2 linked regions of the Drosophila melanogaster genome follow. The protein of the gene in region 1 purifies or fractionates together with the protein of each later gene. This does not show direct contact. Each region holds a gene or a part of one and is shown on either strand. Other genes may lie near its edges.

Region 1 (13,688 bases):
ATAATTTATAATTTATAATTTATAATTTATAATTTATAATTTATAATTTATAATTTATAATTTATAATTTATAATTTATAATTTATAATTTATAATTTATAATTTATAATTTATAATTTACAAATTTATAATTTATAAATTTATAATTTATAATTTATAATTTATAATTGATAATTGATAATTGATAATTGATAATTGATAATTGATAATTGATAATTGATAATTGATAATTGATAATTGATAATTGATAATTGATAATTGATAATTTATAATTTATAATTTATAATTTATAATTTATAATTTATAATTTATAATTTATAATTTATAATTTATAATTTATAATTTATAATTTATAATTTATAATTTATAATTTATAATTTATAATTTATAATTTATAATTTATAATTTATAATTTATAATTTATAATTTATAATTTATAATTTATAATTTATAATTTATAATTTATAATTTATAATTTATAATTTATAATTTATAATTTATAATTTATAATTTATAATTTATAATTTATAATTTATAATTTATAATTTATAATTTATAATTTATAATTTATAATTTATAATTTATAATTTATAATTTATAATTATTATATTATAATAATAATAATAATAATTATAAATAATCTCTTTAGTTGAGATTTTTACCAATTGAACTGCTTCCATGACATATTTAAAAAGCCTGTCGGTTTCATACAACATAGAATGTATGGATGTACATACTTCCATTTATTACATCAAGACTTGATGTACTCAAAGCTAAATTTTAGCAACCATAAATTGATATTCAATCAGTATATTTATGTATGTTCCTTTTGTAAGATTATTCTTATCTTGTTTTATATGATTTTATAGACAGATCCATATAACGTACACAAGTTGTATGTTTGCTTGATAAGATTATACTATAGCGCTAATCATACTTCAAATATAAAGCTTTTGCGCACATGCGTACATACGTATGTTCAAATGAAAAGGATGTACTTTTGATTATATATATGTATTTATTTCAGTATACATTCATATCAATACGAACATATACTGATCATTAAAATAAATATTAACATAAGCTCAGGCATTGACAACGCTGACTGTATATTAATGTGCAATATATTTACATTGCAAGATACTTACATTTCATTATGCCGTATACAGCGTGATGATGATTTCAATTCATAGAACTCCATATTCTCAGTAACATTTGGTAAGAAATCCATATTGTCGTTATCATTCAACAAGTTTATATTTAGATCAAACTCCATATCAAAGCCCAAATCGATTCCAGATTCCGTCATATTTAGGATTAAATTTTTTATACTTAGGAAATTTTATATACCCAACTAACAATATACATAGAACAATTTTTATTTTTTACTAATTATGAAGTTCACATAATTTCGCCTCAGCAGTTAAAGATTCGGAACTACTAATGAATACCTAAAGTTTCATAACACGTATAGAGCTTTTAATAGTGGTGAGAATATGACAGTAAGTGATCGCACATATATCGTGATGTTAAAAGAGCTTAGAGAACTGCCAGTATCTCAATAAAATTTTAAGATATAATTATCTTGTATTTTACTATCAATATAGTAAAAAAAATCATTCAATGTACAACGACAATTTAACTAAATATAACTAAATATATGTAATTTGCATAATTATCATATTATGAAGGAAAGAAATCAAGCTATATATAGCGGCTTCTTAGACAAAAGTGATACAACTAAAGTTTCTTTCTCCTAAAGTTTTTAAGTATTTTTACTCTTCCCCTTATTAGGATTTTCTTTTTCTTATTAGATTAATTTTAAATTTTTAAACTTATCATATTACATTTCACTTTGAAATATATAAAATATATATATTTTTAAATAAGAAAATTAAAATACAAAACAGCTATCAAATCGAAAGTTTTAAACAGAATGAAGTAGTTTGGTATGATTATTTATCCGATGTACTTCAGTTTTTTCCGACTCTACTGAAAAGGGGAAGTGTTAACCGACTCTAACACAAAAGATATTTTCAGCATTGTTTTTTCTACAAAATATTCATAAACGTTATTCATAAAACGTTAAAAATAAATATTTATTGTGCTTTTATTATTGTCAAAACATGAACAATAAAGCATGCAGCTTTATTTTCGTAATTGAATTAAGAAAGTTATCTTTGGCAAGCCGAATCGTAAAGTAACGGTGTAAACAGATTAAAAACAAATTAATAAAAACTAATGAAGTTATTCCGGCATGCTCTGGTAATGGTCATTTTTTGGATTTGGGCAAAATCTTTCGATTTCGTTTTTAGGTGCTCTGGTTTTCGCAACATTTCTGATATCGGGATGCTTCATAAACAGTAAACAGCTGTTTCAGACCATAGAGCGGCCATCTTATTCACAATTTTTTAAATTTTATAAGTATTTTTACCTTCGTACATATGACCTCTTGCCAAATCGAAAATTTTTGTTGCCGACGGCAAAATTTTGTATGGCAAATCTGAGGTGGGGTCAGAAATAATTTTTCTATAAAATATCTATGTCGCAGAATAATCTTGTGGGGTTATGTGGAGTAAACAATGGACCACTAATCTGAGGTGGGGTCAGAAATAATTTTTCTATAAAATATCTATGTCGCAGAATAATCTTGTGGGGTTATGTGGAGTAAACAATGGACCACTAAGATCTAAGATCTGTTATGGCCAAACAAAAGTGCCCGTTTTACAAATCAAAAGATCGAAAATTTTTGTAGCCGAAGGCAACATGTTGTTTGTCAAATCTGAGGTTTAATCAGAAATAAATATTTTATAAGATATCTATGTGGCAGAATGATCTTGTGGGGTGATGTGGAGTAAAGAAGGTACCACTAAGATCTGATTTGATATAAATATAGGCATTTACTTTTCATTTCGGCCAAACAAAAGTGAAAAATTCTTGCGAATTCAAAAACCGGAGCACCAATTTTTCGATTTCACATCGAAATCGTAAGATTCTTACGAATTCGAACACAGGAGCACCAGTTTTTCGATTTTAAATCGAAATCGTAAAATTCTTACGAATTCGAATACCGGAGCTTGCCCGATTATATTTTATTTTATAAATTCAATTTTTCCCGAGCGCTAATATGGCAGAGAATTTCGATCAACTCACATTTGTGTTCCACTTTAAATTTGTCTTCATATCAGAGCACGTGCTTTTGGTTTTCTAAAAACAACTCCTACAAAAACCTTTATATTTAATATACAATGCGGTTAGTCTCTTTGTTTGATCTAAATTGTTTCTCTTGAGTATTGCTTGCTATTATTAAAAGATTTTCAACTCTCTGAAGTCCTTTTAGAAGCATAGAAGTATTTAGAAGATTTAAGAGTTAAAGTATTAAATAGTTTGTGATATCAGAATTACTTTTAAGTGGAAACGGCGTTTCATAAGCCGATATAAAAAACAATAAATACATATCTGAATTTATCGATAAGGTATTTCATATTATAAATTTATGTAAACTACAAATTTGTCTGTTCAAAAGCCTGCGAGTCATTGTAAAATACAATAATCATATCTGCAAAGTAAACTAAATTTATTATGAACGCTGGGTTATTTTAGTTTTCAATAAAATGTAATACCAAAGTTCTGTTTAATGTAAATTGGTAAACAATTTACGTGCAACTCTATACATTGTATTAATCAATTTTGGGCTATATGTGTATATAGATATATAAGTGAATGTATATATTCAATGTTACAGCATGTATTATTAAAAATATTAGTTTTTTAAGTGGCTCATCAGCTCTAAATTTAACTTTGCTTAATTTGTTCAGTAATGTTAAACTATATTTTTGATTTTAGTAATTTTAGCCACCCAAAATATGGAAAAAAAGATCTCATCGTCATCCCAGCCCCGGATTTTAAAAAAGAAGCACTTCAGGGTTAAGCATCAAAAGGTTAAATTATTTAGAGCCAATGAACCAATTTTAAGTGTGTTCATGTGGGGAATAAATCACACTGTATGTAACAAATATTAAACAAGAAAGGCAAGATAAGCTAATTTGAAATATTTCCAGATTAATGAATTAAGTCACGTTAATATACCTGTAATGCTTTTGCCGGACGATTTTCGAGCTTATTCTAAAATTAAGGTGGATAATCATCTATTTAATAAGTAAGAAACCAAAACAAATACATTTTTGATATTCTCAATCGTTGGTATTTTCCTGTTATTATATCCACTACAGAGAAAACATGCCGTCACATTTCAAAGTCAAGGAATATTGCCCCCTTGTGTTTCGAAATTTACGTGAAAGATTTGGCGTTGATGATGTTGATTACCGCGAGTCCTTAACTCGATCCCAACCTATTCAAATTGATTCGTCTGGAAAATCAGGAGCGCAATTTTATCAGAGTTATGATAAGTTTTTTATAATAAAAAGTTTGACATCGGAAGAAATTGAACGAATGCACGCATTTTTAAAGCAATACCATCCGGTGAGTAAAGTATGGTTTAATTGACTAAAATATCCTTATTATAATTTTTAGTACGTTGTGGAGAGACACGGAAAAACGCTGTTACCTCAATACTTGGGAATGTATCGTATCACTGTAGAAAGCGTGCAATATTACTTCGTTGTCATGAGGAATGTTTTCAGCTCCCACTTGACAATACACAAGTATGAAATATGTTGAAAGTTACACCGATTATATGTATAGTATAACCATTATTTATTCGATAGAAAGTTTGATTTAAAAGGTAGCACCGTTGATCGGGAAGCATCAGAAAAGGAACTTGAAAAAAATTTGCCGACTTTCAAGGACAATGATTTTATAAAACAAAAAGTGAAATTAGACATTGGAAAGGAAGCTAAGGACAAACTAATGGACACGCTGAGCAACGATGTGGATGTAAGCAAAAATTTTTATTTTATTCGTATAATAATTGTTTTTATCAAAATTTAAACAAGAAAGAATGCGAGTTTCCCGACTATCAGATATCCGTTACTCAGCTAGTGGAAAGTCAAAGCGAAATTTAATTGGGGAATCAAATGAGAAACAAGGGAGAACGCTATAGTCGGGTTCCCCAACTAGTTGCCCTAATATTAACGGCATTAGATGGGAGGAGAAAAATGTGAATTGACTGGACGAAGAAGTTCGCTAGAAACTGCGACACAACTAATAAAATTAAATAAAATTTGTTATAAATGTGGGCGACAGGTGGCAATAAGTTTTTTGGCATATCAATAGAAATTTACAAGACTAAAAAAAATATGAAAAAATATAAAAACAATATTCAAAAGTTCAAATCTTCATGTCTTCATTTAATAGTTTCTGAGATCAAGGCGGTCATAAGGATTGACGTTCGGATTCAGACATTGATCCTGATCAGGAATATAGCGTCCGAAACGCTTCATATTACCTGTTATATACTTTCCAACAAATATAGTATACCAATTTACCAAAGACAATAGAATAACAAGATGCGTAACGCCATACGATTTTTTTTTGGCGTGGCTTTAGAGGTGGCTCCAGGCTCTCTCGAATTTTTGTTCAAGAGCGAGAGAGCGGAAATCTCTACAGCCAGCAGCTCTTTTCTACGCGTACCAATAGTACCAATATAGTATACCAATTTACCAAAGACTATAGAATAACAAGATGCGTAACGCCATACGATTTTTTTGGCGTGGCTTTAGAGGTGGCTCCAGGCTCTCTCGAATTTTTGTTCAAGAGCGAGAGAGCGGAAATCTCTACAGCCAGCAGCTCTTTTCTACGCGTACAGTGACAGCCGACAACTGTACGTATGCTCATGCATTGTAAATTTGACGAAATAAGCCCTTCATCTTAGAAGTTCTTAGACTTTAAATCTACATTATTTTTGATCAATTGGCACCATGTACAAATTTATTTGTTTTGAATTGCCTTAACGTTGTTTTTATTTAAATATAGCTTAGAAATAATAATAGCCTAATCTTCTATGTACATAATACCAGAAAATAAATTTCAAAAATGACTTTATATTAGAATATTTGTCATTAGAGTATTCAGCTTGCGACGACTAGACTTGTTGAATCGATCTGAAACATCGAAATTTGGGAAGCTGTAAGTGCTATAAGGAGTGCAATTAACATATCGAGGATCATCGTCTTACATATCTTGAATGTTATTAATTCATAGGGACTACAAATTTGTCGCCTTGCACATTTTATATAAATTTCAGGTCTTGAAAATCATACGAATGTGCTGCCATTTTCAAGCATATTGCGTTAAATCTAATTCATAAAAAAAAGTCCTACGAAGTGGTACTTGAAAACCATTTAATCTGAACAAATTTATCTAAAAACCTTTAAATTGTTGTAGTTTAACCTATATAACCAGTAGATATAATTATGTCTTGCATGACTTGATAATTTATTTATTTATAAATATAAATTACCAATACTTTTTGATAGCATATGGTGACATATAATTTATTTTAGCTTTTAACCAAGTTGCACATTATGGATTACTCTTTGTTGGTCGGCGTGCATGACTGTGTTCGTGCAGAGGAGGAAGCTTTGCAGGGAGATAATATACTAACTGTTGGTCGCAGTGAGAACAGCGAAAGCGAGGAATGCGATAGCGGGGAACGGTAAATAAAAATTATTTTATTTAAGCCTTAAATGTACGCAGTTCTTGTTAAAGCTGGACGTATAACACTCCTCCCGATTCTCCAAGAGGTGCACAGTATAAGGAAGTCGTTTATGAAGTTGATATATATGACATTCCAAGTATTGAAGGTAAATGTAGTTTAAAAGTTTTGTACGCAATAGCCCTGATAACTTAACAAAGAGCATTTTTATATTGGTCGTTTTTATATTTTTCAAGTTTTTGAAAATGATGCGTGCGTGCTTATGACGTAAAAAAATTGAAACAAAATTTACGTTAAAGCTCGTTTTTTTAAGATTTTACCCAAAATATTTGGAAAAACAATATATGTTGTTTTTCCATTTTATGCATGATTAAAACACCGGGGAGTACCGATTTCTGAATAGGATACTTAAACTTTCTCTTCTGATTCAGCAGTTAAGATCGTAGCTTCAATCAGACTTGGGAATCACTCTTTTAGTGGCAATCATCATAAAATTTCAGTTGCTTCAATCGTCAACTATCGTGACCATTTCGCTTCATTTGATGTGTTTCGTGCATTGCGCTTATACAAGGGGTACAATATAGTTAAGCAAAAATGTGTGATAACCTTACACCAATTTACATTACATTCAATTTATTTAAATAATTTATTAAAGAATAAATATTATTCTTTAATATATTTAATAATAAATATTATTAAGAATAAATTTATAAAGAATAAATAAATACTTTGTTCTTTGACATACAATGCAGGTAAAAACTATTTTAATAGAACCCCATTAATAAATTTAAATTTCAGTTGTTAACTAATGAGATTTCTATTACTGGTTTCTTAGTGCACATTTTAATTTTTTGGTCCAATCACTTCTACCGTTTTGCCACTAATACTACCGGTATTAAAATTAGAGAATTAATGTATATTTTGAACTGTATTGCAGAAAAACGCGAAATTTACTTTATTGCAATTATTGACGTTCTTACACAATATGGAGTAAAAAAACAGGTATTTCATTTAATACTTAAAAGAAAGGTTGTAATTTTAACAGCATATTTTAGGCAGCTAAAGCAGCCAAAACTGTTAAATATGGCAGTAATGTTGACGGTATATCAACCTGTGACCCTGAACAATATGCCAAACGATTCTTGGACTTTATGGATAAAGCTATAGAATAAAGTATTATACTCATTATGTATTTGCCACATTCAAAATGTCAAAAATGTATTTATCTAAGACATAAAATATAAGATATTATTTTGAAGCTTCCAGATGATCATCTTTTGGACGAATGCAAATATATTGCCTTAAATATCCATTTAGAAATAATTCGGATTTAGTGACCATCACGATGTTACTAGAAAAAATTGGTGAGTCGGGTAAGGATATTTATTCTACTGCACTTACAACAAAACGTTTTATTTGAGTTTTTGATGGGTTCTCCATAGCAGTTTCCGATTTTTTCATATTTTCAAAGCGTTCCCGTATTCTGAAATTAAAGGACCATTACCTTGCAAATTAGTCAAGATACATAAGTAAGTTTGATCTTACGCTTTGGCACTTTCAATAGATTCGTTTGAAATAAGCTGTGAATATACATCAATGCGACCTTCCTTTATTTCTTGTTCTATTTCGTTATTTTGCCATTTTTCAAATTTCGCTCTCAATTGCTTAGCTCGTGCAACACTTTGCGCCTAAAAAAACGAGAAGTGTATTTAATGTACTTTGTAATTACTTCTGGTAACTTAAAGCTATAAAACATTAAAGACTCTTTAGTTGTTATTGGGAGTACAGGACTTATTACACTGGCCAACTTTTTCTTGAAAAGGTAGTACCAAGATCACCGAATTAAACTTATTATGTAATAGATTTAGCGAGGAGCAGGTTCGTAGCATTCTCTTTGTCGAGGACTTCTCCTACAGCAATTACATGTAATTACAAAATTTCATCGAATCTAATTTTAAAGAACTTTGACCACAGGCAGGCTTACAATAAAAAATGTTTGGCCGTTATAGTGGGCGTACGTGGACGTTTTTGCCATATTGATATATATGTGAGATACACAATCAAAAAAAATGTATAAATGTTCGTTACTCATAGATAAAAATAATAAAAAAAAAAAACACCGAAAAAAACTGGAAATACATATAATAAACTAAAATTTACAAAAGTGTGGGTGTGGGACCGGTTTGTGGGCATGGCCAAATTAGGGCAACATGGGTCAACAAACTTGCGCTACGTCTATGTCTTTAGAATCTATTGATCCTGATCAATAATATATGTACGTTATAAGGTTGCAAACGTTTCCTTCTACCTGTTACATACTTTGAAACAAAACTAGAATACCCTTTTACTTTATGTGTAACGGGTATAGCAAGAGTTAGCATTCACTCTTTAAAAAAGATTTAAAAAAATTTTAAAATGGAAAGGTGTGGGCGTGAAAGTTTTGGGCGGGGCAAAAAGTATTTTGGTAAATTTATAGAAATTTACAAGAGCAATAAAAAATTAAAAAAGATCAAAACTTTTTGCTAAATTGTGGCCGTGGCAGTTTTGAGCAAATTGTGGGCGTAAGAGAGGGCGTGTCAAAAATTTGTTCGAAAAATCATAGAAATTTACAATACTAATAAAATTATGAAAAAATATCCAAACAATTTACAAAAGTGTGAGTGTAGCAGTTTTGGGTGGTGTGTGGGTATTAGAGTGGGCGTGGCAACATGGGTCAACAAACTTACGCTGGGTTTATGTTTCTAGAATCTGTATGCTTAATCTTAACCTTCTAGCTTTAATAGTTCCTGAGATCTCGACGTTCATACGGACAGGCAGACAGACGGACGGGCAGGGCCAGATCGAGTCGGCTATTGATCCCCTGATCAAGAATATATATACTTTTATGGTCGGAAACGCTTCTTTCTGCCTGTTACCAATACACGGGTATACCAATCAAAACATTTTTAAAAATCTGCATATACATACTTTTCAAGGAATCTACTTTTTAATCTACGAGTAACGGTTATAATAAGGTACGATTGAAATTCATTTAAAAAACGTTCATAACGCCTGTCTCAAGTAGATAAATAAGCATAATGCATAAAACGCATATAAAACGCATATAATATATATAATATAATGTTTGGGCTTTTCATTGAAGTTTAAGAAAATCTTACCTCGAGAAGTGCCTTATCGTTGTAATAAGAGTTTGAAGGGTTAATTTCAGACTCTTCGTCGTTTTCACTATTTTGTTCGTAGTCACTGTCGCTTTCCTCCTCAGTATCTGATCTAATAAATTGATGTGAAATTTCAGGTGGTGGAGTAAAACACTTCAATGGCTTTGGGTTTTTTTTTTTTTGTTGATCACTCATTTTTTGTTCCTCCATTTCGCGAAACTTATTTAAAATAGTGGACGTTGTTTTCGTTTTCTGCAAAATGTTATCATTGAATAAAGTCGTGCTAATTTGTTGATTCGTTTCGGAGTCAGGAGGTGGAAACATTACAACGCCCTCACGTGGCGGTGTCATGCGGAATATCCTTTTTTTATTTTCGGCCGGAGAATATGTTTCGAAGAATTTAAACTTTTTTGACAACTCTTCAGTGGCGACCTTAACTTCTTCTGGCTTTGAGTCGGATTTGACAATTTCAACATCGCTATTCTGTATTTTTTAAGTTATGAAAATAAGAACGTTCTAACTTTTTTAATTATAGACTCACCTCCTGCACTTTTTGATTATGTATCTGATATTTTTTATCGGGGAGGGTATATTGTACATGATTGCTTAAACCCGATTTTATATTTGCATCTAGTTTCATAAAGATGTTTCTTGATGCTTTGCTTATTCCTGTATTATTAAAAAAGGTTAGGTATATTTAGCAAAGCTATTATTATATTAAGATATACTTTACTTATAACAGGTTCGTAAAAACACAAACTACGAAAAAATTAGTAAAAATACATAGTGCGCAGTTTTACACAAGTGCCTATTTTGCAATTAACTGTGCTGTTACGAAGGCTGTTATAGTATAGCCTTACCAGATTCGAATACATCCGCATCCTCATGAATACCACAACTTACTTCGCTTGATAGTATCTTACTATCTTTATAAACTTCACCGTTCTCAAATCGGTTCTTTATTTCCTGAGTGGGCTTAATAGCACAAATATCTGGGGTTTTGCCAACTGATGTAACGGGTTGTTCTGATTCAGCAACAGCTAATTTATACATTTCTTTTATTTTGGCTTGTTTACCCAGAAACAATCGAGAGCGTATGTTTTGTATTTCTTGTTTTCTTTCCTCGCGGCGCCCTTCCTTTGCCATTAAGTCACCTTGCTCAAACTTAGATCTTATATCGTTCATGGCTTCCCCCAAGCCTACAGGGGTTTCTCTTTCGATCTCCTTTTTTAAGCACATAAAATTCATGTCGCCATCGCCATCACTATTATTGTCACTGTTTTTATCGTCTAATTTGGTTAGTTCTGAATTAGGTATCCCTAGCCCATGAAACTTAGTCAGTGTAGACTGTATTGACTTGCTATGCGTAATAGCAATATCTTGACGTTCTCGTAAATTATTGTTATGTTCTTCATAGCCATTTTCGAAAACTTTAAATTTTGAGCGCAGATTAAGTTCTTGGAGCTCGTCAAGGCCAAGACTTGGTTTATCGGATGCTAAAATAGTTAATAATTATATTTGATTATATATATTCATTCTTACCATAAATGTATGTTGAATAAAATGAATAAATTTTTTATTAGTACATTTTCCACATTTCATGAACACAATATAAGAAAAAAGTTTACTACTTAATCTGGCTGGAACGACGAATGATATGTGTTATTGACTTCTCGCCCCTTTTCTGGGTATATTATAGTCTTTCATCCTCTTCCAGTGAAAATGGGGAAAACAATTCAGATGCCAAAGAGAATCGAATTTGTTGTGTTGACTGACTAAATCGTAAGCAAAACTATATAACAATTTTTTTGCACAGGTCTAACACGGAAAAGGGGAAAGATTATTAAAATATATAAGGTCCATTTAAATTAAAAAATGAAATTGAAATTGAGTGCCGAAACCCATTTTTTTCAAATGTTTTTCTCGAAATGATATTTTTTTTTGTATCAGATCAAAAAGTTATTCAGAAATGTATCTATAAATTGTGAATATTCTTTATATTATTACAAAAAATATAACCAGAATTTTTGAATAAAAATGAATATAATTTTTTTTAAAGAAATGTGAAAATATGATTATAAAAAGGTGAAACTTTAGAAAACACCAGTATATTGAAGTTCATGTTTTTCGATAATGTGACACTTATAATAATAACAACTGGTATTCTTCTCAAGAGAAAATCTTGAAGAATTATTCTTACCTTTAGCAACATCCGGCGGTAATTTAATTGGCTGATTCTCTCGTATTATCAGTTCGGCTTTTCGTGGGGTAAATTCTTCGTAAACTACTTTCGGGGCGAATATTAATTTAAAGTGCATAGAGCAATATAGACTTCCATCATGAACATTATAGCTATCAAATCTGTGGGTTATTACAAAATAAGAATAAAAATCGAAAATAAAATAAAATTGTTAGATTGCTTATAGAGCTTACAAACGACATTAACTGTAAAATAAGATTAAAACTTCTAGACCTCGGCGTTTATAGGGATAGACGGACTAGATCGATTTTAAATTTATGAATACTGTAAGGACTCGGAAAACCATATTTCAACGTGATACATACTTTTCAATGAGTTTGATTGAATTCATCGATGGTTACGACGTATATTATTATTGGTTCAACAAAGTTTAAAGTATATTATAATATATATTTTTTTCGGTACTCACTTAAGGTGTTTGCCACAGTCCTTGCAACGTAAGCACGTTTTATGGAAAATAGTCGTTGCTGTCTTCAAACTAAGAATGACTTCCTCCATTTTGTACACGGGTTTCTTGCATTGGTGGCAGTTTTCAACCTTCTCAGGTATTGTAGACTGGTAAAAGGAAGGAAATTAAATTTACAAGCAGCTGATTAAATTGATTTAAGTTAAAAAATCGACCACCTTTTGTTATTTTGTAAATGTAATGCGTTATCTTTATGATACTTAGCTTACTCGAAAAAGTGATTGAGCTTTTTTAGAATCTCGTGAACGTACATGAATAACATTACGTTTTTGTAGATCATCGAATTTCGTAAAACTTTTTTTCTAGAAAATATAAGAGTTGTAATTTAAGCAATATAAGTTGGTAGGAATGTATACATAAAAAATAGATATTTGTATGATACACATTGTTAGAATGGGTGAGATGTATTTCCGTTACAATATACCCAGTAATACCATAGAGGCTATTTAAGTTCAATACTCAGGTTAAAAGAGCGCGAGGGAGATGATTATATGAAATAAGATAGGGTACTGTTTAAGAGATTGTAAACTATCGCCACAAAGCGGCAGTTACTTTTATTGCTCACGACTTTTTGTGGTCAGGTCAGGTACGCCTTAAATTCTTAATTTAATAAAAAAGTTTACAGTAGGGATTTAACCGTAATGTTCATGGCCTATTGGTAAAAGCGTTATAGGCGACTTCCCTCTTGATCCCGACAATCGGATACCCATTAAGCCAGCTAGAGAATTTTCAACATTTTTTGACATATCGATAGAACATATTTTGCAGAAGTTGCAGGTTTGGCCGGTTAGTGGCCGTTAGAGATGGCGTGTCAACATTTGGAAACAAACTTGCGCTGCAGCTCTCGAATCTTTATGTCTCACCTCAACTGTCTAACTTTTAAAGTTACTGAGATCTAGACGTGCATACGGACGGACATGGTCAGATGGAATCGGCTATTGATCCTGATCAAGAATATATATATACTTTACATAGCAAACAAACTTGTTCTCTGAAGAAGTGTCACTAGACTTTTCATGTTTTATTATTAACACATGCAACACATTATTTACTTTGTGTTGCTATTTCTCACATTGTAATTAACGAAACTTATAAATATTAATAAATATTTTTCCTGCATACATATATATGTACATACATACATATATGTACATATTTCTTAAAACTAGAAAAATCCACAAAATCTTA
Region 2 (18,329 bases), on another chromosome or scaffold:
ATGGCCATGATGGAGACCTGTCGTAGTGGGACAAAAGTACGCAGAGATTGGTTAATGAGTTGCTGACGATGGAGTTGCTGACGAAGCACACCCACCTGAAAGTAGTCATCGGTCGAGACGCCAAACCATTCTGGCGAGTCTAGGAACTGATGGGGAAACACAATGTGCAGGGCGCGCTGATGCTGCGACACCACCAGTCTGTGGATAAGAGAGCATCGGTATTAGCCACATTAGTCAAAGGCGAAAGTCACTCCGTTGAGCACTCACTTGCCGCTCAGCACCAGCGACAGGCTGTCGACCTTGGTGACCTTCTCCTGGGCGTAGACCTCCTGGTACTTCAGGGCACGTATCACCTTCATGCAGTTGAGCACCTTCTTGAACTGGTGGCGCGTCACGTGCAGCGGCTGGAAAAGTGCCAGGTAGACCTGCGAATGGAGTCGATAAAGTTAATGGTTATGGCGACAGCTACAGATCAATTATATGTATTTATTTGCATATTATATACCACGTATATTTACGTTTAATAAATACGTATATTTTAAATTTTAAGCAATTTTATGTTGCTTTTTAGCTCCTGGTATTTTTTTTTATTACAAATTTGCTTGCTGATGAATCTTGTCTTGATATTCATTCAATGCCACCCATTAAAAATACGTTCTTTATACATAACTTGTGCAGTTAAATAAATATGTATTTACTGAAAAATGATTAATAGTCCTTAGCTGGAAAGTGTAGCTTTTACACGATAATATCAATATATTGTATTATTTACTTAGAAAGCTTGTTTATATTTGTACTTCATTCATGATAAAATAAACTCAAGGTTTCTCTGAAAACTTTCCACCTATTCTACTCAAGCATCAATGGGTTCTAACTGATGGCCACATAATATTGTACATAATACTCAGTTAACGTGTCCATAATTTACATATAAAGTAAAGTGGGTGGGTAAATAAAAGCTGCACTAATTTAACGGAAACTTCCTATTTTCTTGGCCAAAAGACTCACATGGAGATCAATAGGACAAAAATCGCTGTTGCCAAGTAGATGTTGTTACACTCAGCACTGAAAGTCAAACAAACAAGCAACTGAAATAGGCAAATATTATCGCAAATCGAGAGTGTTAACTGCTTAGCATTGCGTCAAGTACAACAAGAGCACGCCCCCTTTTCCCACCATGTTCTCGGTTTTTATTTAAATGAGGCTACACTGCGAGAAACGAACACTGCTAAGGACTTCAAAGGAACTTGTCCTCTTCAAACACACAGAAACCTTTCGTTTAGTTTAAAAACCCAAAGTCAAGAAAAACATATATGTTTCTAAAAGAAAAAAATAAGAAAAGAACATCCATTTCAAGTGCGACGGTTTTCTTTCCGTGTGCTTATGTAGCGTGGGCGTGGATGAGCTGCGACCAGTTTTTTTGGGGGGACCACACCACCCCACCCCACGCCAACCCGTTCCCAACCCTCTCGAGATCGAAGAGCCAAGCCGGCGGTCACATGGCCGAAATGTAAGACTCGAGGTAGCAACAGCCACACACGACAGCGTTAACTTGTCGCCATGCAAAATATCGTGCGTTTTGCTGACGCAGCCGTTAGACGTGCCAGCAGCTTGGCCGGCTCTAGCCCCCGATCCCGCTCTGCTCCATCCAGGTGGGCTACCATGGATCGGGGCAGTAGCAGCACTCACTACTGCAACATCGGCGGTGGTCGTATTGCAGCTCGCAACATGAAACGCCAGCAGTTTTCAATTTTTCTCAACCGTATCTGAAAGGTATATAGGTTCTTCGATAAAACATAAAATGATAAAATGCAATTTCGTGCACTTTCTGTGCCCTTTAAATTGACAACGTTCAAATGTATGCTTTAGCAATAATACTGCATAAATATAAAGATATTCAATACCTTTTCAAATTGATGTACATAGGTATTTTTCGTATATTTTTTCAATTTTGTTACCATTTGATTGACAACAAATAATGACTCGCTGCAATAATTTTGTGTCAGTTTAAGGTTAGTTAAGAGTTTTTGGTCAGGGTCCAACGAAGTCGACTTCACAGAAGGGACTTTCAAAGTGGCCCGAATGCGAATGAGGTTTTATTTCGATTGGATTTCGTCGCTTAATTTTTTCATACGCTAGCGACGCGCGGCAATAACATTAAACATTAACGAGCATGGCTAAATAAATAAATAACATAATCAAGAGGCTTGCCCGGGCGTCGGACAAATTGTGATCCGGGGCAGGTTTTGCTGGCGAATCCAGCGGATCCAGCGAATCGTTTCGATTTGCAACAGTCGCCGGTCGCCAGTCGGTCGTCGGACATTGCCGCGGATTCCCGAGTCACGTAGGCCAGTCTCCACAGAGCCACCAAGCCACCGAGCCACCAAGCCACCGAATCACCAAACCACCGAGCCACTGAACCACTGAGCACCACCACCAAGCATCAAGCGCAGCTCAGAGAGCCACAAAAAAAGCATTACAAATGAAATCCAAATCCACACAGGCGCTGAGAACGAAGAGTAGCAGGCACAGATACGGATACACTAAGAAAAAAATTAGCCCATCAACTAAATTGCCAATCAAATTAGCTCAATGGATCAGATGTCCAGCAGGCAAGCAATTAGAATTATAATAATTCAATTCAGATAAAGGTTTAATCCTTTATGAGTATATATGTACATTAAAGTAACTTCATATCTTTTAGTTCATTTGTTGCACCAGCGTGCGTCCAATTCCCAAGAATTGCTCGCTGTGTACAGATGAGGCAGATAAGCGGCCTCTAGATGATGATGAACTGCCGGCTGGACAGCCGCCACATATACATGATGGACCGCCGTCGAATGGAAATATGGGAACGGGGATGAGGTCGTTATTCCTTTGCTGTGGGAAACAAAGCACCATTCCGCTGTACCGCTCGCAATTTGCAAATTGAAATCAATGATAGCGAAGAATTCAAAAAAAAAAAAAAAAAATAAATAAAAAGTACACATAAGTATTAAAACCGAAACAGAGCAATTTGCGAACGATCGTCGGCCAGAGATAATGCTCTACTTTGGCCAATCTCTGAATGAGATCGGAACAGTTGCTTCCCGAGGCAGATTCAATTGACTTCTTAATGGCCAAAAAGGATTCACTGGGCCTGAAGCCCTGAATGAGTTTACACGGTTAAGGATGAATTGAAAGTTAGTTAAATGAATGAATTGATCACTTATCAATAGGAATAATCCAACGATTCCGTTTACCGGAATGGGAAACTCAACCGTACGTGCTACATTCTTAAAAATCAATGTGTTATCTAAAGACTGTTCATAACCATTAACTTAGTTTAACTTATAAAATACTTATAAATGCATTAATCAAGTAATTAGGGCAATAAATGAATCATAAATTGCACAATCTGCATGAGCAGTTTATTAATAATTTCATTTTGCCTAACAACTGGTGGAATTCTTCTGGAATTCTGCCAACTGATTGTCTTAATCTATCCACCGAGCCAAAGATCACTGCGAAGAACATTCTTTGATCGCAGCCTCTTAATTGCGAAGAATTCTCATGGGGCATGCCGCAGATGACGATCGATCGATCCATTATGGGGACACTTATGCGGTTTAATTATCGCTGATCGGGTTTAATTATTTCCCCACTCGATCGATCGTTGGTTTTATGGCTCTGTTTTATGTCTTTTTCCGCTTCTTATTCCCTCCTAACTGACCTGCCCAAATGCGCATATATTGTAGATCATAGAGAGAGCGATGAAGATCGGTGGGAAAGCAAGCATTCATTCGCACTCGAGAGCCATTGAACCTGATGATAAGCCCCCCCAAAGAGAGGCTCTCTTCCTTCTCTACCTTCGACTTTAAGAGAGTCGCAGAAGTAACGGGCAGTCGGCAACAGTGGGCCGTTCGAAAACAAAAACAAAAAAGCAAACAAATGTCGATGGTTGCACACGACTGCGTTGTGTGAACAATGGAGAGCTGGTTAACAGTATTGGAAGCAGAATCAGAATCAGAATCGATTGTCGTCAACAAGCAACTGCTGCTGATAACAACCGACTGAACTGCAGCGGAGTTTTCTCTCCCACTCTCTAGAAGTTTTTCGCCACTTTCTGGTTGCTTATCATGGCCGTCAACCGTTAAAATTGCCGTGCAAATGGTGAAATACCAAAATTGGGCATTTTCAGCTGTTGCTGAAATGTTGATAACCTATTTACGGTATGATGCACACTTAATTATATTTTTCAAACGTTGTTTACTTTTGAAAGTTTCCGGGTAAATCCATTAAAAGTGTATAAGTCCACAAAAATGTAGTAATAACATTTAAAGATCTTGAAAAACAAATATGTGAACGATATTTTAAGAACATATAACATATGTACATATATACAAACATATTTTTAGCCGTTTTAGGGTTAGAATCTTTTAACCACATAACAGTACCTATGAACATCGTGAAAAGAAATATACAATTATGTATTTCTTTGCTTCAGTTTGCCCCCAAATTGATTAAATTTCCCCGCCATTTTCAGTGCTAATTGAGCTGTCAGTGATCTACGTCTCATTTCTCGAGTGATTTAGGTGACTCATGTGATTCCAGGAAAGAAGGCGTGTGGGTGATGGGCGTGGCGGCACCCAGTAGACATATGTACATATGTATATACATACATATGTACGTACCCCTTATATCTGGATCTGCTTAGGCCGCTCACGTGGTTCGCTGTTTTTGTTTTTTCCACCAAGGGATTACGCCGCACTTCGCACAATGATTGAGTGAAGGCGCGTGGGTGGGTGTGGAAAAGGAGGCGGTACTGTGAGACGAAAGAGGGTGGTGTGGGTGTGTTGGCCACATCGCCCTCTTCTGTCGAATGATTGCCACATTGGACAGCTGATGCTGACGCATATGTCTTTCGACGGCTCTCCAAGTTCCTCTCTTCTGCATAAACGCTCGGTGTGCGTCAGGTGCAGAAATAAAAACATCACCGAGTGTCCCCTAGCCGTCTAATGGATCCCCCGATCCGCTCTTTTTCGGTCACCTTTCATCCGTCCGCATTTGCTGGCCCATATGACGCGAAAGCCGGCCGGCACGTCCGCATTGGAGGAAAAACGGAATGGAATTTGCCACAACGCCAGCTGGGAATAAAAAAAACAGAACCAGACTTGGCCCACGTACCCCTGCCTTCCGAAGAAAAACACTAGCAAACCGGCAAAACTATAAACTATAAACTATTTTCAACGAAAAATTATGAATATTATGCTAAAGCAAAGCAGCATGGCTAAAACCTTCACGAATATCGAAAACTTCAGCTATTACCAAATACATAGTGTTATTATAAAACAATTTAATAGTTAATCTTCAGCATCTTCAAATACATCACATTGCTATTCACCATGAGAACCATTGACGGATGATGTATAATAAATTTACTGTTCAAATATAATAGATACCAATTGGATTCGTAAATTTTGTATTGTTTACAGCATTCCGTGCCACGTGGTCCAAAATAATTTATAAACTAGTTAATGTCAAAATTCTATGAATAGTTCGCTTAATCGTTATATCATTAACCAGTCCACATATCACAAATTAGCGACCTATTTGATGATTGATTTAGTGGACGTAAAATATATACAATATATTTTCACAATGATGTATCTCTTTGTGGTTACAACTGCAAGGAATTTAAATTATATGTATAGCTTTAAGGGAGCACCTTATTATATCAACATTTTCATTGCTTTGCTAAAGTACAGACTGGCTAATTTATGGTTAAGCTGCAACTTTAATGAATAGAAATAAAGGTAAAGGAATATTTGGACGATCATCTGTTCTAACATTCTTGGTGGTAGGTAGGCAACCTTTGATCTTGGTAAATTGTTCCCCTCTTGTTTCGGAGTGCTTGATTTGTTCGACTGACTGATTGATCGATTGACTGCCATTTGTAGATTTTCGACTTGAAGATTCGATTCATTCATTAATAATATTATTGATTTTAATTTAATTTTTCTTTGGAGCCGCCAACTCGCGGAACGTGCGGCACATGACAAGGGGATCAACTCGAATCGATAAGATGTACATGGAGAGTACTTTCTATATACGATTCCTGGCATGGCCGATCGCGTCGATCGCCGTTCGATGGCTGCCCACAAACTGCTCATTATCTAATTGCGGTTCAAATCCCAGTCGCACTCCCAACCATTTCGATTCGCTTCGATTTGTCTGGCCGGACGTAGATCCCTCCTCCGATCGTTTTTGGCCGATCGCCTCCTTATGGTGCATACAAATACTGCCATTAAATCCGCTTTTGGTCACCCAATTTGGCCGGACATCGTGCACTGGCCGTGATTTCTTGCCCACTCATCGTGGCTCTCAAGAATCGGTGCTCTGCGGATTTATCGCAGGGTGCTGGGTGCTGCGGTGAATCGGGGATAATGACATGGTCCCGTTCGCTGATTGTCCATGATTAGTCTCTTCACGCCCAGCTTAATCAAGTGAATTTTAATCAAACAGTAAACAGTTCGTTTATTCTATTTTTTGCCAGCACGTTATTTTTTTTATTTGTGCGAAAGATTTGCCACATCGCAAGAAGTGGTCAGTTTCAGTGGGGGACTTTTAACTGATCTGGCTAGGAGGCGATCCTCGTCAAGCCCCACTGAATCACTGGGTGATTCACCCAACCAGATTTTCGTTATCATTAGCATTTCGAATTGGGCTGCGGCTACTTTCTAAGAGTCTACGATCTACTATCAAAGTGTAAATGGATTATGTTTGCATGTATAGTTAGCTACTTGCTCAACTACCGTTTAGTTTAATCATTGCTTTGTATTATATATTCATCGAGTGATCAGTGCTGAGCTGAACGTGTTCTTTTCCATATGATTCACCTGTGATTTCTTGCAGATGTCTTGCGTCAGTGGCAAATGTGTCTAATACCCACAAAATCCGGGGGGTGGGTGGAAAAGTTTTTCCCCCCGAATGGGTAACAGAATATTAAATATCCGTTGGGGAGTTTCTCCGAAATCGAAATAAGAAATCGTTCCCCACGACGCAAGTGATCGAAGCCATTCGCCGAATTTAAGCCGACGACTCACTGGTGATAAACCAGAATCGGTGGATCCAATGTACATATGGATACATATGTATGTATGTGTGCATTAGGCGGGGATTGCTCGAACGCGCTGGTGACGTCGCAGGAATTCAAGGCATTTGCATCCCGCTGTGGATTCCACACTTTTTCGGCGCAACATTGTTGGAAAGTTTCTGGCGAAAAAAATCGAAAAAAATAAACGTCTGAAGGTTGGGCCACTAACTATTCACATGTGGCATCCATTTGTCAGGTGCTTATAAGGCGGCATATAATGCCAAACGATCGCAGCGTGACAGCCACCATTAATTGAGACTTGCTGTTGATAAGGCGGCGGCTCTCTTAAAAACCTCGCTAGATTTAAGAGATCGCCAGCTGAAGCCCAGCCTCCCAACGGCCGCTCTTTTTGGGATAATCCAGTTTAAACGCATCGCACAGTGGGATTTGCAATCCGGCTTAAGTGGGTTGACACCAATGTTAAAAAAAAAAAAACCAAACAATTTCAAATTGATTCAAACGAAACTGGAATTGAGTCAATTGTTTTGCTAAATTTATAAACCAATGCCAATAATCGCAGACCAATTGACTAATCTTATCTGTTCGGTTCCATTTTAAATCATACGATTGATTGTCTGAATATATGGCTTAATTTGTATACGATAGTTAATACATTTTACATATTATATTTAGATTACTATATAGATTGGAGTGACACAGATCTATGGATCATCGATCTGTTCAATTGTCTGATTTTCATTTCCAAGCGTTGGAAATATACATCCTAGTACAGATTTTATCTTATTGGTAGTATTACATATATTGGTAGCTTTACATATAATTACACAGTCGATCGATATATATATATAACGATATAACAATAAAGCCATCTATCAATCCAAGTGTTTGGCTTTTACGGTTATAAAGGCAAATGCACTTTGCGGATAAGAAAGCACGCGATCATGCTGATCTGGACTACTGGGCAACCCACTGGGCACCGCCATTAGTCCCACTGTTGCATCAGCTCCGCCGATTCGATCGGAGTGCAAAATGTAGATCCCGAAGAGAGCGGAGCGTTCGCCGCGTCCGAAGAGAGCGGAAGCAGAGCGGGCAGCGCCGTTGGCGCAAGAACTGGCGTTGTCGGCGGTATATATAAAAGCTAATGGCAGCGGCGACTTCCCATTCAAAATCGCACACCTCAACGCGCCGCGTGTCGCACTTGGTCCCCCCGGAATCCAAAAAAAAAAAAAATAACCACCCCAAATATTAACCCAACCCCACGTTAGAATCGCAGTCAAAACCCACAAACCGATCCGAAAGCGCGGTGTAGAAAAATCCCAAAATCCAATATTTAAAATATACAAACGGAAAGTTAAGTAACCCCCATTAAATTTTTTTGCTGTGCGAAGCGAGACAAAGAAGAGTGCCAAAAAGAATACAGAGCATCTAAAAAGGATTATCAATTCAAAGAGGAGCCACAGAAACCAATGCAAAGATGTGCCACAATTCAGGGATCGTGGAGAAAAACAACGAGCAGCAGATCGAGCGCTACATGGCCTGTGGGATGCCATCGAAGGCGGTGAAGAGTGTCAAGTACACGCTGAAGAAGCGCGAGAAGAAGGAGCAGCAGCGGAGAGATCTGGAAAAGGATCTGCACAGGGAACAGCAGTTCCTTGAGGAACTCGAGCTAAGCAGTAGCGCCAGCGACTCCTCCTCCTCCTCCTCGTCCTCCTCGGTCACCGGCAGCGATAGCGAGGATAGCGGCGTTACCGAAACCGTTTTGAAATCGTCGCCGTCGGCGGATATGACAACCAGTCCAAAGGTCATCTCACCGGCCCCCACACCCAGAAGCGACCTCTTACGATTCTGCCCGCGATTTCGCAAGCTGCAGCAGGAGCAGCAGCAGCAGATGCTCAAGGAGATGGAGTTGCAGGAGGAGGAGCCCTTGGCCACCAGCACGCCCGCCGCCGCCCTGAAGGCTCAACAGCAGCGCAAGCTGAGCTCCATGGAGCCGTCAATGGACGACGCCCTGGCCATCGGCACCCAGATGACTAGGCAGGTGTCCGAGCGAATCACCTGCCTGGTGGCCAAGCTGCAGGCCAGTCGCCTGTACACGTAAGTCTCCCACCATTATTCCCCGCTAAAACACATCATCCATCATCTTTCAACTGGACTCCTAAGTTGTCTCATTTCAATAATTACCTGCTACAAATTTAGGAGATAGAGTTCCGTTGAAACTTTCTAATATATTCGCATACTGCCACTTAAGTCACTTTAAAATATTTAACATTTGGATAGTGCCGCTTAAAATAAAATATCTGCTAGTTTTTCTACAATTCAGGTTTTTGACTCTTAGTGCAGTTTCTATTATTCCATTAGTTCTGTTAACAACTCTGTTGCGAATCCAATTAACTTATTGGTAGTTTTACTCCGTTGACGGCGAATATTTTGTATTTGTATGATCACAAAGTGCAAATACTTCTAAAAATAGCCAATGAAGTTAATATTTACGGGAGAATATTGAGTTACCCGAAGTAAAATTGATCTGTATGTATCATAAAGATTATTTTGTAGCGATCATTGGTCGGCATATAGCACGCCCCCTGTTACTAAATATGTACCAATAAATTCATCAGCTGACGAAGGAAGGAAATCCTAAATGCTAGCGCCACTATCAGCTCTTATCAGTTCATTGTCACGGCTGCGGATCATGCTGATCACGCCCCTATATTGATATTTATAAATGCAAATATAAGCGTAGAATTTTTCCACCGTCTGCTGTTGTCTGGGGCGTACAACCGTTATGCAAACAGCAGACACAAGAAACGTCTGTCGTTGGTCTATTAACACACTAAAGTGGCTTCTTAACATAAGCATTAAAGACTATTAGACTAAGTTTAACAATATATGTATGTATGTATTTAACTAAAATGTCACAGCTACTAAACACTAAACTGATTTGCAGCACTCTCAAACTTTCTGAACAGCTTTGGCCAGAAAGCGAAATACAACGAAGACCATTAAACAGATTGTTAGCACCCCATTGATAATGCCTGGCAGCAGACGCCAAACTCGTGACCTGCACGATATCGATCGCCACAGTGGAACCCCAAGAAATGGAATAATTTATTAACAATTGCATAGCCAAACAGAAGAACCCCTCCTTTCCTAACCTTAGTTAACGTAAGCCCCAATTTCTGTTGGTGATTCACGGGAATTTGGGCCTCTAGGCCGCATTACTAACGACAAGTGCGTGAGTCTAAAAATACGATCAAGTGATATTCGCCTTGACCGTAATGCTGACTCAATGTCAAGCGATATGTTAAACCTCGGGTGGCGCGGGGGTGTGTCTAGAAACGGTCGTTATCTTGCGGTCAGTGGGGCGCTATGACGACAATTGGCATGTCAATAGAGTTCCCTAAAACCCCCTGAATCACCCGCTCTTGTTGGCTCGCTCTCTCGCCCAATCCGCAACCAACCACCTGCTGGAGTGCAAAGTGCGATCCGGGTCCTACGTCATCGGGAAGAGCTTTCGCGTGCATACAGTCCGGGGAAAAACTGTAGCATGCAAGGAAGGACGATTGATTTAAAAGTGATGTCGCGGCAAGACCGTTCGTTACCAGTCGATTGAGTTATTTAGTTGCAAGTTTGAAAAAATTTATTAAATCAATATTTGCATTTATGGCTGGCCTAATATGTTGACTGCAACTGTAGTATGGACTTGCTGTCTTTTCTTCACCCCTGTCCATAAATCAGCTGCGTTCGCCGCGTTTTATCGTTTTATCAGCTGGTCGCCAGCTGATTCCACTGAATTCGCCCCAAGTGCAAGTACAAAGCTGCATTATCCACGCTTTTTTGCTATGAATACCGCATAGAGATTGCCAATTTCTGGCTTTTAGTTATGGTCCCCTCGAGAGCAACAGAGAGAGAGGGTAATAGTGGGGGGGGGGGGGGGCGGCGAAAATATACAATATTCGGTTGCATGCGTTTGCGCACGTACGCCACTTGGGCTCTATTCGCCGCGCGACAAAAACAAAAACGAACGGCGAAAAAAGTGTGCAAAAAAGACATAAAAACGTAACAGACGGATATGCAAAATGCCAGACTAGGAAGGGTTGGTGGGGAGACGGAGACGCAACAAATGCGTAGACACGAACAGAAAGGGATAGCCATAACGTGGGGGAAAAGGAGACGGTGAATTCGCACGATCGCAATCGGTGCAAAAGTTCGCCGCAAATCAAATCTAATCGGACATGAGGGCCACGTGGGTACCCCCATAACCCATTTTCCCGCGGAGTTTAGACCATCGTCAATTGCGTAGCTATTGCATTTATAAGTTATAAGTTCACAACAGGAATTGAACCGAACGGGTCACAAAAGCACTTCAATCAAGAAAATAGACCTCATGGCCTTGAGACAGAAACACACATACATACATATGTATATGTACATACATATGTACTTATATCAATATGTTTACAGAACCCCAGTTTTGAGCCATGATCGATAATAATCGATACTGTGCGATCAATTCGATACATTTCGATCAAATGCCGATGGTCTGGTAGAAAGTTAGTCTTCTTTTCCAACATTAAAACTTCATTAAAATAATGTTAACTTCTAAATTTAAATTCGTACTATTTGACAAAAAACATTACTCTCCCATTGCAGAATTCTGACGCGTACGACACAGCCAGCACACTTGATAGCTGTTTGCATCTTGGCCTTTGTGCTGATGACTGTGGGACGCGACCTCATCGACCCAACGACAACGGTGGCAACAGCAGAAGCAGCAGCGTCTGCAACAGCAGCATCGACGAGAACAGCAACGGGCGGAGTTATGGCGGCCTTGGTCTTCCTGGGCGCCTTTGCCACCCACTTTGGGTCTCAGATCTGGATGACATTTGTCTCGGGTAAGTGTCCCCATATCGCAGGACTTTTCTGATCTTCAGGGATCACACATGAGCATCCCAAACATTCATTGTTTCCTAGATGAAGCTCATAATGCATAATGCCATTGAGGAAATTCATTGACTCATCTCAGCGAACGAAGTACTGTGAAGATGGTCTAGCCATAACATTCAGTTCGTCAAGGTTTCAGCATATGAAATGGTCACTGATCACTGATTCCATTGCCAAGATCAACCAATTTAATAATACATTTCTTTAAGCCGATCAACACACACTCGCTTCATTTGTGCGCCATTCCGCCAAAAATCGTAATTACATTTTGTAGAATTGTTGGGCAGTAAATAAAAACCGATTACTAGCAAGTCTAATTTTTTGCACATCCTTGCAGGACTCTCGCTGTATTTCTCTCTGCCCCGCCACGTTTTCGGGCAGTGCCAGCAGATCCTCTTCCCGCGCTACTTCGCCCTGAACGCCATGCTCAGTCTGACGATGCTGGTGGTGTATGCCAAGTATTTCCTCAGCGGATGGACGACATCGGCGGGCATCCAGATGGGATCGCTGGCCCTGGCGGCGGGAATTGAGGTGGTGGTGCGCCTGTACCTGGTGCCACCGATGCTGCAGCTGATGCACGAGAAGTACAGGATCGAGGATGCGATCGGCAGTGGCCAGGAGGTGGGCAGCCTTGTCCAGGGCGACCTCGTCGACTGCCCGCACTATCAGCGCATCCACAAGGGATTCCGGCGCATTCACATGACCATCGCCATTGGCAATATGACGGTCATGCTGACCACCTGCCTGCAGCTGTATTTTCTGGCATCGAAAATACGCCTTAGCTAAGGCAAGCCCGAAGTGAAGAATTTATAGATTTAGGTATCCACCACATAACAACGCATACACACACACACACATTACTACTACTGTACGTTCCACGTTCGATAAATGTCTCAAATTCAAATATGGCTTATTGAACACTTGAGTTTTTGAACTGGTCCTCCATCCGGCCCCAAATGCCCTTCCTCCGCCCCACACACGCCCACACCACCCATACGCCCATGCACGAAAATATTTAATTTCTCCCAAGGACGCCTTGTTTGCGACGACCTTTCCAATCTGATTTCCTGTGATAAACTCAGCCCAAAACTCCCAAAACAAAACACCCACCCGCAAACCACAGCACATTTAGCCTAGAGTTGATAGCCAATAATTTACAAGAAGTTATTAATTAATAGCCTATTGATAATTAATTATACTGTTTTTTTTTTTTTGTCTCATTCATTAATTTTCTTCTGTTATTTATTAATCCACCGAAAACTATGTTTTTCTCTGTTTTAAGTGCGGATATTAAGTGAATGTAATTTATATTAAAACAAACAAACAAAAACAACAACAAAAGAAACAAAATCAAAAACCAAAAAAGCACAAAAAGAAACAAAAACACAAAAAAAAAACCATACATCTGTTCACACATGAACACGAATATATTTAAAGACTTACAATTTTGGGCTCCGTTCATATCTTATGTAAATGAATCGAGAGCGATAAATTATATTTAGGATTTTGTTATCTAAGGCGACATGGGTGCATTGCTCAAAAACATGTAATTTAAGTGCACACTACATGAGTCAGTCACTTGAGATCGTTCCCCGCCTCCTAAAATAGTCCCTTAGTGGGAGACCACAGATAAGGTCCTCGCCGCTCAAGATAGGCAGATGTGCCCGAGCGTGGGACCTCGATAAGGCGGGGACTATTTACTTAGGCCTCTGCGTAGGCCATTTACTTTAAGATGCGATTCTCATGTCACCTATTTAAACCGAAGATATTTCCAAATAAAATTAGTTTCTTACAAAAACTCAACGAGTAAAGTCTTCTTATTTGGGATTTTACACATCAATAAAAATATCCAATCAATGTGTAAAATTTAAATGATTCTTTTTCTTGCGGCTCATATGTACATTAGATCTTTAAAAAGATGTCAAGAAGATGAATTAATCGAGTGGATTGCCTACTTCTCGGCTTTGGAAAAATTAAATGTAAGCTTGAGTTGGATTTCTGGGGAAAAGAATATAAATAATATGCTTTAAAATAAGCAGTTATTTAAAGACGTTTACTGAGGTAACTCTTCAGCATGTCCCTAAGTTTTCATTTGTAATTGCAATATAAAACAGGAATTTCTAAGTCATAATAATTGTTTTATTATTATTATTATTATTATTATTAGTTTACGGTATATACATATATCCACTTACCGCTTCGATTTCCTGCTCGAATCGCACAGGCCTCAGCCGGCATAGCACCACGACGAGATAGATGAAGTTGACAAAAAGTCCCATGCCCGACCACAGGATGACGTCCGGTGCAAAGGCCACCAAGTAGCCATGCATGCCCATCATCAGGCAGCCAATGAGCAGCATGGCACGCATCCACAGGGCGCCGTAGGGACCGTGTGGAGCCAAAAAGGCTAGGAAGAGAAAGGCCCAGCCGAGCTGAAAGTACAGGTGATGTGGCCCGAGGCACTGTTCGATGGACCAATCGCCGGGATTGATCGATCGCAGGGTTCCATTGTTGTCCCAGGTGATCGTTCCACTGCTGGCGGCGCTCGTTCCCGCCGTGCTCTGGGCGATTAAAGTGCCGGCGGCGGAGGCATCTGCTCCAGATCCCGAACTGCCTGGTGCTCCTGCTCCCGTAGCAGCTGCTCTGCCCATGCCAATGCCCATGACACTACTGGCGCTGCTGCCGGCACTGTTGATCAGGGCGCCCATACCAACGCCAGCTGCACTGCCCGCCGTGCTGGGCATTCCGTTGATCCAGGCGAACTGCCTTCGTTTCAGTCTGTCACTCTCCTCTCAGCCTGATCGTTGAGCTATTTTTTGCAGCACGTATTTTGCCTAATTACCAAATTGATTGGTTGATGTACTGGTTGGTTGTTGTCCACGCTAGGCGAATGCCAAAAATCTGCCTTTTGTTTCTATCTTCCACCTTTCTCTCCTTCGCCTAATTCGTTTGTTGTTGCTTACGCGCGGTTTTCCTCAACCTTTGTTGGTGGTGGTTTGTTTTGTTATTGCTGCTGCCCTTTTCAAAATGTTTGTGCTTTGCGGTTGGTGTCTTGAATGTATTTTTTGCTTGCGGTTCATATCCTAGCTAGTTGAAATTTGAATTACTTTGCATTTTACAGCTTAGTCAGCCGTTTAGTTAATGGCCTTAGACTCTTATTTCCGTATTTGTTTAATATTTAGCTGGGGCTATTGGTGAGCTAACCTTTGATGAGGCTACTGCTGCTGCCGCCTGTCACATTTTGCATCGCTTAGGCAGCTGCTGAAAGAAATTGAAAAAACGTTGTCAAGAAAGTTTCCAGTTTCAGCTAACGAATTAGGCAAAGAAATGTTAAGTAGGGGCAGTTGCTGAATAAATGCGATAGTAATTGGCTTTGGCAATTTATTAATTAACTATTAATGGATATTGCAACACCAACAGTAAAGCCCCGCTGTGAACTCTTACAGCTGCTAGTGAATGCCCCAGTTCTTGGAGTGTAGCCACTCCTTGAATTATTACTCCTTGAGTAGACTAGGGAAAGGATATCAGATGACGGACTACTTATTACAAACAGAAATGTACATAATGCAATTCAAAAGAATTATATTTTTACAGTTTGTTATTTATTCTCTCAATAAGTATTTTGTTATTGACTACTGATATTGATATTTATAAAACACATTACAGACCTCAAGAGGAATTTAATACAATACTGATTAGTAACAAAGGCGCTGAGTACTCATCGGAGTTAAAGTAATTGTTTATAAACATTTAATATGATTATGAATCTCGGCTGACTAATAGTACATACAGATGTGGACATACATACAGTATGTAGATATGAACTTTAGCGACTTCTTCTCGTAACTTCAGATCACGACGCACCCAAAATTCCGTATAAATTCTCAGAAACCCGTAATATTGTATATCATGCGAAAATCTACAAAAAATCTAGGTAATCGGGTATAAATCATAGCAAAATCCACTGAAATTCACGGAAGCAAAGACTATCTGCAATGTTATTTTTTTATTTTATTTTTTTTTTTTTTCGGCCGACAGAGATCCGCACAACCTGTTTCCGACTCGACCAGGCCAACAAAACTTGGCCAAAAGCACTCCAGAGAGTATATACACATATAGAACAAAGCAAACAACGGGTGCGAGTTTTGTTTGCTGACCCCAAAAAAGAACGCCAGCCGAACAAAAAAAAAAAAACACTAAAAACACTGGGAAAGTGGCCAAAAGTGGGCGAGGGCATGGTCTATACGGTCCGTGGTCCCCATATAGTTTATGGTATTGGGGTTGGTCTGGTGAGTGCGACTGGAAAACGAAACATTTCCGGCCTGGACATGAATAATAAAACAAAGCCAACGAGCAGGAAAGATAGTGTGAAAAGAAAAGGGAGAAATTGTGGATACAAGAGCGACAAAGAAGGGCATCGAAATAATCAATTTGATGTCGCAAAGTTCGTGGTCGCCCATGCACTGGAAGAAAAAGAAAAGCCCAGAAGATAACATTTCCAAACTTTTCGACAATGCCAACTAAAATAATGTGAGCATTGACCCGATCTTGATGGCGTCTTGATGATGTCTTGACCTGATCACGATGGCGATACGATATTCAAATTCTAATTTACCATAACATATCTACGATACAGGATTTTCTCTCAGTGTGATTATTGACAGTGGTCAACCAACCGATGACAGGCAGTCAGTCTGACGTCCACGATGATGATCATAATGCGCTAGTGATGTGGACTGTTACTCAACACTTTGCATATTGACTGCACTGCCACAATGTCTTTGGCGTGCGCCTAATAACGATAATGATGATAGCGGCGCAAGTGACACACATCAGTCACAAAAACAAACAAGGCCAACACTTCCTCGTCATTATCATCAACTCTTCGGGGGTGTGCAGCAGCAACACAAAAAAAGCAATGTAAATCAGTTGAGTGTTAACGAAATGCAAATACCCTAAAAACGGAATGAACATTTACCACCCAGAATAGAGAAAAGAGTGCTTGTTCTTGGCCTCGGTCAAAGAAATTTTTAAAAAACGTTGGCCTATCTATTCTATTCCGAATATCTACAGCGTAGCAAATGAAGAGTTGTCCGGTCTTGAATATCGACGAGCGCCACCTAGCGGAGGATATACGTATTACTCATATTTCCTGACGTCGTTCTAAAAATCTTCATTTATTTAAAACTTATTTTTTTAACAAATTCTTTTGTTCTTTTTGGTGATTAGCTAGCTAGTTGAAGTATAGGTAGATGTTTGGAATACATATATTAGATAGAATTGGTAGAATTTGGCCAGAAAATTAGGAAAAAGCATTAATAGGGGGGGCGTTCAAAATTTAAATTTCAATATTGCACTGCACTGTCACTTGAATCTGTAATCTAAGTCCAAATATTCCAGATCATAAAGTTCACGTTCATACGGACAATCAATAAATTGCTTATGGATAATACAAGCACAATATAATTCAATTTTTTATATTTTATGGACTTTAGGTCCGTGTTGAAATAACAATTTTTTAAGATATGTGCATACATATTTATGTATATAAAGTAATGTTTATAATATATGGTGATTTTGGTTTGGTTTATTGGTTTAATGCTTTCTCCCGAGCGCGCCCAAACTCAAAAACTCCAAATACTTTCCATAAAGGGTATATCCACACCAACGCACGCACACACATTGTGTGGCAACAACAAAAATGTGGGCAGAGAAGATGAAGTCATCGCTTTGTTGCCTTGAAAAAAAAAAACACACACACATACAACACGAAAAACAAAACAAAAAAATACAAAACAACAAATGCAAATACAACTAAGCGCGACTTCGCTTAAATTTAAGTCCATAGCCAAAAGTAAAATGGGTACAATGCGAACGAAGCAAGATTCAAAAACTAGAAAAACACAAACAAATATGTAGTACAAGTGAAAGAAAACATGAAACTACATTTAAAAATAATAAATAGCTATAGGTGCAACTATGAAATGACCTGCATAAAAGTTACACTTACTATGTTAACTAAGAGCTCAAAACTAACCTAAAACATTGAGGAATTGAATAAAGACAATGACTTAAATTAGGTTTAAATAATGCAGTTAATTTTCAAAGTTTTTACGTTTTTTAATTTCGAAGAACGATAAAAAAGACAACTTAAAAGGAAAGACTTTTCTTGCGAAAATCCCAATAGTTTGCGACTGATAACTGCGAGCAGAAAGGAAAAGTCGCCGGGTGAAAATCATGTGAAATAGGGTGGGTTGAATGACATGCCAGTGGCCAATGACGATATCGGAAA

Evidence for each region.
Region 2: the proteins of PIP4K (region 1) and CG32512 purify together in Drosophila melanogaster (affinity purification with mass spectrometry, with the first as the bait; one large-scale study listed by BioGRID). This does not show direct contact.

The regions. Positions count from the first base shown.
Region 1 is NC_004353.4:1,186,636-1,200,323, reverse strand, and holds PIP4K (phosphatidylinositol 5-phosphate 4-kinase), read left to right. Parts: upstream 1-3,475; 5' UTR 3,476-3,616; intron 3,617-3,846; 5' UTR 3,847-3,866; coding exon 3,867-4,004; intron 4,005-4,061; coding exon 4,062-4,159; intron 4,160-4,232; coding exon 4,233-4,482; intron 4,483-4,533; coding exon 4,534-4,664; intron 4,665-4,727; coding exon 4,728-4,896; intron 4,897-6,464; coding exon 6,465-6,616; intron 6,617-6,669; coding exon 6,670-6,764; intron 6,765-7,338; exon of another isoform or gene 7,339-7,553; coding exon 7,554-7,618; exon of another isoform or gene 7,619-7,671; coding exon 7,672-7,788; 3' UTR 7,789-7,905; downstream 7,906-13,688. Other genes in the region: CG33521 (uncharacterized protein), read right to left, coding at 7,965-7,967, 8,018-8,099, 8,162-8,304, 9,775-10,257, 10,316-10,443, 10,635-11,270, 11,975-12,135, 12,444-12,589 and 1 more.
Region 2 is NC_004354.4:21,057,461-21,075,789, reverse strand, and holds CG32512 (uncharacterized protein), read left to right. Parts: upstream 1-8,249; 5' UTR 8,250-8,570; coding exon 8,571-9,190; intron 9,191-11,201; exon of another isoform or gene 11,202-11,328; coding exon of another isoform or gene 11,329-11,339; intron 11,340-11,599; exon of another isoform or gene 11,600-11,646; intron 11,647-11,746; coding exon 11,747-11,988; intron 11,989-12,374; coding exon 12,375-12,823; 3' UTR 12,824-13,513; downstream 13,514-18,329. Other genes in the region: bves, read right to left, coding at 1-17, 96-198, 268-425, 14,233-14,781.